Linked DNA regions of Yarrowia lipolytica. The protein of the gene in region 2 purifies or fractionates together with the protein of the main gene of each other region. This does not show direct contact. Links are inferred from orthologs where the notes say so. Each region holds a gene or a part of one and is shown on either strand. Other genes may lie near its edges.

Region 1 (4,595 bases), on a different chromosome or scaffold from region 2:
CCGGTGTGGCCCTCGGTGCCGACAGCAGTGCCAAAGAAGATGAGGTACTCGGTGACAGAGGCATGGAGCACAAACATGGATCCCATGGCTCCTCCGGCGTTGTTGAAGACCCACTCGTCAAAGTTGAGCTCGTTGATGAACTTGCCATATCGGTCGTGCAGAGAGGCGCCCAGATCGGTCAGAATGGCGGTCGAGTTTCCGTCGGGGTTTCGCTCCAGAGTCTGGTTGACCATGGTCATGAGCTCATCCTTGTCGAAGATGTATCTGTGTGGGAGCACGTTGATAAAGAGCCAGTTGGTGACCATGTACAGACCCACCAGCAGCAGGGAAATCAGACCGACGAATTTCATTGTGGCGGTTCGTACTGTCGGTGATAGCTAGTTGTAATGCGTGCCCCCCAGTCGCGTCTATATATACAAACACAATAGGCTTTGCCCAAATCACTTGCATGAAGAACCTTAGACATACGACCTGAGCGAGATGGGATGACATGACATGGCGTGTGGAGGTGACCGTCCGTGCATCCGCACCACCTTTTGTTGCAACTCGATCCCACCACGAATTCAGACTTGGGTTGTGTGGATTGTGTATGTGTGTGTGTGTGTGTGTGTACACGTGACCAACTCCATTCACTCCACTTCCAAAAGAAAAACACGTCTTAACCCCTTGTCTGGTCTCTCCCAGTTGTCTCCATTGCCTTCATAGTTAGCGCATGTTTTTTCACACCGGCGTTTCGCTTAAAGTTCCACCTTCGTATTCCTCGTTTGAAAAATCATACATGCCTGTTTCTTTCGTGTCGAACGTTACTGCACGATATTGTGCGTGCAGTGTGGGAGATTTGCGTAATACAGTGCAACGGCTCGGCGGGTGGGGGGGAGGTTGGAAACTCCGTGTCACGTGACGTGTTCTGAAGAAGCTCTCGGGTGGGTAGCAGGAAGATTTGCAAACAGTGTGCCAAGTACTGGCGGTATCGTACATACTGTACATGAGGACGGATCGTGACCACGTGACCGACAAGATCTGGAGTTATCTTGAATGGCGTATTTGTAGACGGCGTTCTATGTGATAGTTGTGTCTTCGTATCGTACTTGTACTTGTACTCGTAATAAATGGGGGAATGTGTGTTTTGTAGCTCGTATGACAGCCAAATAGGGGGCATATGCACTGAATACAAGGAAAAGTGATACTTGTATAAGTACAAATACAGTAGATGGAGAATGCAAGCCAAGAGTTTGACGATACAGTCACAAAAGGTATACTGCCGGCAATACACGAGCCATTGGATCAGTAAATCAATCGTTCAGTTTCTATTATGATCTGGGTTGAGGTGGGGTGGTGAGGGTAAGTAATTTAGGTGGTATTAGTTAGCTTAGGTGAAGTATGGTATATGTAATGTATATGCAGAAAAAAAAAAAAAAAAAGTGGAAGGACCATCAAAAATGGTCACAAATTGGAACTGGGAGTCTTAATAATCCAATAACTGCTCAAAGTGACTGCTCCAAGGCTGTCATTTTGGTCTGACTCCAGATCAATGCCACTAAGAGAGGCTACTCGTACTTCCTCCTCTTACATACATGGTTCTGGAAAAATTAATTAACGTTTGCAACATGCAAGATTGGAAAAAATTGGTGTGCTGAAATCCAACTGCACGAAACACATCTGCTATACTACCAAAAGACAAGATGGAAACGACGGAAAAGACTGCGTTCGAAGCCGTATCCGTGGAGCCTTTCTACACCGGTGGCAAGACCTCTCTCGCCGACGACGGGTACACCCTGGCCACCTCTTTTGGAGAGGACGTGGTGGTGACCAACATCAAAACTGGAGAGGAAATCTGCCGAATCGAGGGCGATAGTGAGATTCTGACGACTCTGGAAATAAGTCCCGATGCCCAATACCTCGTCACATGCTCCCGATCTCTGACAATGCGCACATACCGAATCCCCAGTGGAGAACTGGTTCGATCAGCCCGGGCCCATGACGCCCCAGTGATTGTCATGGCTATCGACAGCTCATCGAGTCTGGTGGCGACCGGAGGAGCCGAGGGAACCGTCAAGGTGTGGGATCTGGAGCGGGGATTTGTGACTCACAATCTCAAGGGCCATGGAGGAGTGGTTTCTGCATTGAAGTTTTTCGGCGAACAGGGCGGCTCAGTGTGGCGCCTGGCGTCCGGAGCGGACGACTGCAAGATCCGAGTTTGGGATCTCGTGAGCCGAAAGTGTCTCAAGGTGCTGGATTCGCATAACTCGGTCATTCGAGGTCTGTCCTGGAGCTCCGACGGTGGCATTCTTGTGTCTGGAGGCCGAGACAAGATCGTCAACGTGTGGGACGCCAACAAGTTCAAGCTGGTGCGAACCATCCCCGTGGGTGAGAGTATCGAGACAGCCGGTATCCTGAATGGCGAGGGTCTTCGAATCTATACTGGTGGCGAGATGGGAGTTGTGAAGATCTGGAACGGTCAGACTTCTGCTCTGATTGCTGCCCAGGTCCAGCCTGCAGTGCACAACAAGGAAAACGAGCGAGTGGGAGTGGTGGACATTCTGTATAAGACCGACAAGCTTGTGTCTGTGCTGTCAGACCAGACTTTTGTGGAGCTGGACGACGACCTAAAGGAGGTGCGACGTATTGTGGGTTTCCATGATCAGATCATCGATATGACTTATGTTGGCGAAGACGAGTCCAAGCTGGCGGTGGTCACCAACGCGCCCGACATTCGAATCCAGACCGTTGGAGGAATCGAAACCAACGTTCTGACTGGACATAGAGATAACGTCATTGCCGTGGACCGATCGTTTGACGGTACCTGGCTGGCTTCCTCTGGAAAGGATCACGAGGCTAGAATCTGGCACGTGCCCACTCTGACCTGCTTTGCTGTCTGCACCGGTCATGCTGGTTCTGTGGGAGGTGTTGCTCTTCCTAGACTTCCTCTTGAGGGTCGACCTCCTCAGTTCCTCATTACCGGCTCGCAAGATCTGACCATCAAGAAGTGGAACATTGCCAAGGACGGTACTGCGAAGGCCGAGTACACCCGAAAGGCCCACGAGAAGGATATCAATGCTCTGGACGTGTCTCCTAACGATAGACTGTTTGCTACGGCTTCTCAGGACAGAACTGCAAAGGTGTGGGACATGAACTCGGGTGAGGCTGTGGGAGTGCTGCGAGGACACAAGCGAGGCGTCTGGTCTATCAAGTTCAACCCCTACGAGAAACAGATTGTAACTGGATCGGGAGACAAGACCGTCAAGGTGTGGTCTCTGAACGACTTTTCGTGCCTGCGAACATTTGAAGGCCATACCAACTCGGTTCTGCGAACCGTGTGGACTTCTCTGGGCTCCCAGATTGTCTCCTCTGGAGGAGACGGACTCATCAAGGTATGGACTTATGCCTCTGGAGAATGTGCTGTCACTTTGGACAACCATGAAGACAAGGTGTGGTCTCTGGCTGTTCGAGGCTCCGATGACGGTGCCCAGATGGTCTCTGGAGACGGAGAGGGAACCATTACTGTGTGGAAGGATATCTCCGACGAGGAGAAGGCTGCCAAGAAGGCTGCTGCCGAGCTTCAGGTGGAGCAGGAGCAGCAGCTGGCAAACTACGTGCGGTCCAAGGACTGGGAGAATGCTATTCTGCTTGCTCTGACTCTGAACCAGCCCTACAAGCTTTTCTGTCTGTTCCGAGACGTGCTTGCTGATCGCCAGGACGAGGACTCCATCATGGGTCTGACTAAGGTCGACAATGTGATTGCTGGACTCAATGTCGAGCAACTGGAGCTTCTGATCAAGCGAGTCCGAGACTGGAACACGAATGCTCGATCGTCGGTGGTGGCTCAGCGGGTCATGAACTGCATTCTGGTTAACCACTCGGTTGACAAGCTCAGCCAGGTGCCCAAGATTTCCACCATGACAGACGCTCTCATTCCTTACTCGGAGCGACACTTTAACCGGGTCGATGAGATGTACGACGAGAGCTATCTGCTAGACTACGCTCTGAATGAGATGGACTTCCTGGACACTCCTCAGGTTGTGTAGGATGGAAATGGGGGCATTGTGAGGGACTAGGGACGGGTTATATAGGCATACCAATAGATATTGACATTATTGTGAGAACTGCGAGTGAACAGCACGAATCGTTCTGAACTTCGGAAAAAGATCTCGTGGCAGAGGGCTACATTGTAGTTTCTCGGGACGTATCCTCACACCGTATAGCGATCACGAGTCACGAGTGCCATAGAGCGAGTGCCACAATACGAATCACTGTGACCGTGTCTGTCGGACTCCGTCAATCACCATGACCGCAGAATATGCACTCGGATAGGACTCACAGTACAAGCCTATTGTATGTCGTCTTTGGATTCTGCTGCATCTGACTTTTTTCGCATATCTCCGTGTACAAGCAGTAGCTAAAATAACAGGGGGTGTATGGAGCTCTATAACGAGAGATATTTGGAAGATACAAACACTTGTAGTGAATAAGAGGTCAGTTCAGAACCTTGAGCGAGCATTCAGTATCAATTGTACCAGCTAAATAGTATTATACGGCGTCAGGTTATTACAAATACGACAATTGTTATTTCACGCACGCAATGTTTCTATTCTGCA
Region 2 (3,047 bases):
ACACAACGGATAATGGTCCAGGCGTATTATGGAACATACCATTGGAACGAGCAGAGTTTTGCGATCAGTCTGACACCAATTCTGGGCTTGTTAGAGCATTTGGACGATGCTGAGGTTCAGACGAAAAACACCTCCGAACCTCGTCCCAACATTCAAGAACATCAAAACCCCACTCTTCTGAAAACTCTTCTGGAAACTGTACGTGGAGCTTTACTTCTACACTCTGTCACTATTAATATGCTCATAAATACTATATCCTTTCTATCAGTGTGTATGAACACACAGTATTGTGTTGAAGCCAGCCGGTGGACAGTCTGATGTCGAGTCAGCGTGAGAAAGGTGGTTCAGATAAAACCGACTCATTTTTTGACATTTTATCAAACTCCCTGTATTTCTGTAACTGCTTTCCAAAAGCTGTCATAACCGCACAAGTGCTGACAAGATATTACTTCCTCCAGCGATCAATAAGTCGTCCAGTAGGCCTTCATCGGCTCTTGTCCACTCAGACCTTCAGTCTTGCCACTTAAAGGTAATCCTTCTTATTGGCAGTTCGCATAAATCCATGCATTCTCCACTCGACATCGGCATCCTTGTTCTCCAGAGTGCCCAGTCTCAGGTCATAGAGTCTCATTTCAAACCGCGGTCCGACCTCAGCAAGCTCAACACCCTCCCGGGTTTTGACGTAGACATGCTGCCGGACACTGATAAAGTCGCCTCGGTTGGCAAATGTGATGACTCGAGCTGAGTCCTTCTTCACTCCGGGAGGAAACAGATGCTTCAAAATCTGCACAACTCGCTTACCCAGGTCGGTGGTGAAGTTGTCAAAGATGAGATGAGGGTGCACCTCGCTCATGTTGCCGGTATCGGGCAGATCGTGTCGAAGAACCACGTTATGAAGCGAAAAGTAGGCGGTGGGGCCATGGGGGAAATGGGACACCGTCATGGCAGTAGGCACACCTCGATGCTCGTGCAAAACAATGAGATCCGATGAAGCAGACGTCTTGCAAGCCGAAACCAGCGACGGCAACACGGTTCCTCCTCGGTTGAGCCGGATAGAAGTGGGGAACAGCAATTTCACCTCCTTGGCAAACTGAGACAGACGGGTCGACGGGTCTCGAGAAGTCGTCACCACCACCTTGGGATCGGTGATGCCACTCATGGCGCTATATTCGTCGTCAATCTCATCCTGCACAGACTCGTCGTACGCAATGGTCTTTCGAAGCTCTTCGTCGTCAGCCACGTCTTTGGGCAACGGCTTACCGGAGGCCAGCGCCGCCTTCAACTGCTGCCGCTTCTGGATCTTGGTCGCCTCCTGCAGCTGGAGCGACTTTCGGTAGAGATACTCTCGCCGTTCTCGGGCCTGTCTTCTGATCATGCTGGGCTTGTGGCGGTGATGTAAAGGTTGTGGGAAGACTGACAAAAAAAAAGATCTGTATGCATAATTCTTTTCCACGAAAAAGCTTAATCTGAAAACTTATTTCGATGGCCACAGGGATATCATGTGGCCAATAAAAAGCTATATGTGACACTTTAAGAAGTGAAAGGTCCCGGATAAAGATGTAAAATTCACCATTGTATCATTCTCCGCTTTCTCCGGTCAAATTATGAACAGTTTGGACCCATTTATTGCCATTTGTTGTGTTCAACTAACTGTTGGGAGTGCTTGTGAGATGTCTTCACTGTAGACCAAATGGCCTTCAATGTCAGGATATGCTGGCGAATGGTGGAAGCACCTCAAAAAGAATATATGTAAACTGGTGATTTTCCGGTCGATAGTTTCCTCTGATACTCCTCTACTTCTACAGAAACTTGCTTTCGAGAATTGTTGTGGCCCCGTCCAACACAATGACAATCGTTGTAATCCTTCCACCCAGTGACAATCAATGTAATTTTTCCATGGAAAACGAATTATACGGAGACAGTGATGATCAGAAAGACCTATCGGATTTGGGAGCTCCCAGGAATCAAAAAAGAGTACTACGAAAGTATTGTATAATTGACAGAATATTTCGCCAGGCTCCGGGTCTGACTTTTCCCGAACGGCTCAGATCCAACAGTTTGAACATGCTCTAGAATGCTGGATAAAAGAAGGGATTGTCACTTGAAGTGGAGAGACAGACTAAACATTCTATTTATCTTCTTTTCAATAATTCCGCTTCACCTCAAAACCTCTCCCTTCTCCGTTGCATCTCCGGCCAGAACCCACATCACCGAACAGGTCGAGATTTGGGTCGATTTGAACTGGGTCGAGGTGATTAGTTGAAAATTAAATCAATTAAAATTTATCTTGAGATTATATCAAGTCTTCATTATCATCTCTTCGGCCTTTCGTTCAGTTCAGACAGAAGAGCAGGAACAGGATTGTTATAGAATCATGGATATTCTTCCGATTTGAACGATTTCAACTCAAGTGTACAACAATAACCCGTCTAAATAGATCTTCTGATACTTTCTCCGATCTACAAATCGATCGCAAGAGCAAGTCGACGAGCAAGGGCTTGTACTGTAGGTACTGTAGGTACTACTGTAGTTGAACTTCCTACCTTTCTAATGAGACGATAAATGACCAGATTCGGGAAAATTAAACGGGATCCAAAATAACATGCTCTCCAAAGATCAAATCATTTCTCAAATCAGCTAGTTTTAATATCTGGAAGGACCATATCTCAAACACTACAATACACCACCCTCATCATTCTACTACAACACCCCATAGTAACCCTAACCAACTCCAGCATTATCCTCCGCCAACAATGCCGATCAGTTCCTCTCATACAGACTAACCCCCATCGCTTCTCATTTACTCGCAAAATGACCTCCTATACCTCCTACTGTAGACCTCCTTACCTCAACTAAAATCCCAACTAATGCTTCATATAGAACGAGCACAATGAAGCCCATAACTCCACTTTTTATCACTATACACCCCATAATATCTACACTAAAATATACCGCGTAACCCCCAAGACTCCATTTTTCCAAGACTCATTTCACTAGACCTCGCACAACCCAAGAGCACCACCCCCAGCACCCCTTTTTGTTCAACT
Region 3 (3,098 bases), on a different chromosome or scaffold from region 2:
GGTGCCCTGTCACTCGGCTTACCAGTGCCCCACCCAGTGGCTGGAGGCCGTGCATGAGTCCCAGTCCCAGGCTGCTTCGGCTTAGTCTGAAAATAATTAGCATACGGTATAATAGAGTCACCACAGGGACCCGACAGTAGTTAGTGGTATAAAGTGATCACTTGATTGTCATCACTTCGATTTAAGTGGTTTGGTTGTGGCTACAATGCTAGCCTATAGGTCCAGTGCCTCACTTGTAATCTGAGAGACAGAACCAAGGAGATGCAGAGTCTTGTGCTTCTACCATATCGTATAGTAGTACGACTTCAAGTACCAGCGGCGTGTATCTTTTGTAGGCTTTCTTGTAAATATGAATCTACAACGGTAGTACTTGTATCGTAACTGACATACTCGCCCAGACAATACCAACAACCGAGAGATCAGACAAGAGCACAGTGATTAAGGAGACGACGCTCAAAATCTGAAGTCATTTAGTTGAACATATAGCAATGAATGTCTTCGTTTCACCTGATAGTGTTCTTATCGACTTGACAATAATAAAAAAGCGGACTATCCCCTACTTCTCCAAGTTCTCTACACGCCTTCTCATTCCGTCTAATAGTAGCATGCATAAATAAAAACTTACATAGTGTTGAAGTCGTCGAGCTCGTTTCGGTACTTGAGAGTGGCCTTCTTGATCTTGGATCGGTCGGTCCAGGTGACAAAGTCCTCCATGTTTCGGGTCACCAGAAACGCAGGGTCGGTGACAATGTGAGGACCCACTCTCACGTGACCCTGCTCGATCATGGCAGTTCCAGCGTCCAGTTTTTGGGTCATCTTGAGTTTGTGCATGATGACGGGGAGTCGTCGCTTGGCGATAGCAGACACAGATATCTTGGTCTCCAGATGCGAAACGGTGGTGTTAGTGGAAAGAATGCCCATCTGGTAGAGTTTGTCGAGAAGCAGCTTTTCGTGCTTGATTCGAACAGGGTCGTCCGGTTGGAGCTGAGATAGCTTGTATGCTAATTGTCGGATCTTACCGCAGATTTTGTTGTACTTGTTGTAGTCGTCTCGGTCCTGCAGATGGAAGGTGCCCATCACCTGCTGTTCACGGTGGCCATTATCTGTCTTCCAGTTGACAAAGTCGACCTTCTTGAGCAGCTTGCCCTCGTGGTGCTTGAACTGTCGTACCATTTTGTCAAAGGTGTTGTGAAGAAGTGGTGATATCTTTCCCTGCACCGTGAAGAATAATTTGGGATTTTTTTGATATAGAGTTTTGCCATGCATAGAAGCGAGTATCAAGGAAAATGCTTAGATGGGTATTTGGTGTGACTACCACCGAGACTACTTGTAGTATTGTTTGTGTTGGTTTTTGGTTTGATTTTTTATTTTTTTTAGTTATTTTTATTTATTTATTTTCCAACTATTAAATATGCCATACCTTGGTAACTTGTTAATACTTCCTTTTCGATCTCCTTCTATTTCATTTGGAAATTCTCAACATTTCTGATCTATGGATTGATCTTTCCAAAAAAAATATATATGTATATATCAAAGCATCCCTCTCTATCGTATGCACTTGTACGCGAGTGGCAAACAACTCTTTACTTGTAGTAAAACAGTATCCTCAACTTATCCTATCATACCTCTATTACCAAATATATCTTTATACAACGTGTTTTCGCTTAAAGCAGGTCAACAATGAGCTTGGAACCCTTGTTTCCATCCTCGGCAGCAGCAGCAATCTCCTTCTTACTGTCCTTGAGAGTCTTTTTGAGCTCCTTCTTCAGCTTATCGTCCTCCAGGTTCTCCAACAGAGTCACAATGACAAAAGCACCGTCTCCAGTGGCCCATGCGACAACGTGATCCCCAATTGCATCGTAGAACTTGGCACCGAAGTCGATGGGAGTCTCGACCTTGACTACCTTCTTCTCCTTGTTGTTCCAATGTCCCTGTTGAATGAGGGTTCGCAGAGCTCGCTGAGCGTTGGGCTGCTTGATGACGTGGTTGTCACCGGCGGGATCGGCAGACAGAACCTCCATAAGAGCAGCGATAGCCTCAGACTTGTCACCGTCACACGACAGAAGAGCCTCAGAAATGAACTGAGAACCCAGGGTGTCGTTCATGAGCTCGTAAGCGTTGTTGGCAATGGCCTCGAGAATCAGAGGGGACATTCCCTTGTTGATCTCCTCCAGTCGAAGAGCATCATCCTTCTTGGCAGTACCAGTTGCGGTCTTCATCTCATCGTACTGCTTGAGCTGATCCAGAACCAGCTTGTTGAAGTATCGAGAGTCTCGGCCTAGCATGGCATACAGGAAGGGTCGTCGACCGTTCTTGTCCATGAACAGCTCATGCACGGGCTTCTCGGAGAGCTCACCAGAAAAGGCCTTAACAACACTCTTGGTATCGTCAATGGTGTCAAAAGCAGTCATCATGACCATGTGTCCGTACTGATCAGCAGCCAGGGTGTCGGCAAAGCTCTTGAGCGACTTGAGAAGACCCTTCTTCTCCTTGGCAGAAGCCATGGCCAGAGTCTTGCAAGCCACCTGCGATCCCTCGTTAGTATGCACCATCTCTGCAAACTGCTCGCCAATCAGATCGATGAATTCGGTCTTCTCCGAGTTGTTGGTGTCAAGGTTGCTGACGTACTCAAGCATGGCAGCATGAATGACGGTGAAACCAATGGAACCCTTGTTGACAGCAGCAGTGATAGTTTCGTTCAGGTTTCGCATGATGATGGGTCGCTTCTCGGGGGCGTCCTCGATAATATCCTTAAGGGTCTTTGTGCCAGCAGCGTCTCGGAAAACGGCAAACTCGGCACCGAAAAACTCTTGGATGATTTGTCGCTTCTGAGCAGCAGTGCTGTAGTCTCTGTAGGCATCCTCCAGCACATAGGCACCCTCCTTATGACGCATGAGCTTTCGGAACCGGCCGTGCAGCTCGTCAATAATAGATTGTCGAACGGCAGCAGATCCGTAATGCAGCATCTTGACCAGCAGGTACTTTCCGTAAGACGAGATGGCCAGGTCGTAGTAGTTGCCCTTCAGCGCCTTTGTGATGATCTCTCGCTTCTCCTTGTCAGCGTACTTGAACAGAGTCTGGATAATTCGCGATGCGTC

Evidence for each region.
Region 1: the proteins of YALI1_D30922g (region 2) and YALI1_E38020g purify together in Saccharomyces cerevisiae (affinity purification with mass spectrometry; 3 studies listed by BioGRID). This does not show direct contact. The link is inferred for Yarrowia lipolytica from reciprocal best matches to the Saccharomyces cerevisiae genes IMP4 and UTP13.
Region 3: the proteins of YALI1_D30922g (region 2) and YALI1_F23133g purify together in Saccharomyces cerevisiae (affinity purification with mass spectrometry; 3 studies listed by BioGRID, with this or other methods). This does not show direct contact. The link is inferred for Yarrowia lipolytica from reciprocal best matches to the Saccharomyces cerevisiae genes IMP4 and IMP3.

What each region holds. Positions count from the first base shown.
Region 1 is NC_090774.1:3,799,133-3,803,727, reverse strand, and holds YALI1_E38020g (uncharacterized protein), read left to right. Parts: upstream 1-1,682; coding exon 1,683-4,025; downstream 4,026-4,595. Other genes in the region: YALI1_E38034g (uncharacterized protein), read right to left, coding at 1-350. UniProt on the Saccharomyces cerevisiae protein: Involved in nucleolar processing of pre-18S ribosomal RNA.
Region 2 is NC_090773.1:3,090,826-3,093,872, forward strand, and holds YALI1_D30922g (uncharacterized protein), read right to left. Parts: upstream 1,376-3,047; coding exon 524-1,375; downstream 1-523. UniProt on the Saccharomyces cerevisiae protein: Required for the early cleavages at sites A0, A1 and A2 during 18S ribosomal pre-RNA processing.
Region 3 is NC_090775.1:2,311,509-2,314,606, reverse strand, and holds YALI1_F23133g (uncharacterized protein), read right to left. Parts: upstream 1,267-3,098; coding exon 622-1,266; downstream 1-621. Other genes in the region: YALI1_F23157g (uncharacterized protein), read left to right, coding at 1-85; YALI1_F23109g (uncharacterized protein), read right to left, coding at 1,665-3,098. UniProt on the Saccharomyces cerevisiae protein: Required for the early cleavages at sites A0, A1 and A2 during 18S ribosomal pre-RNA processing.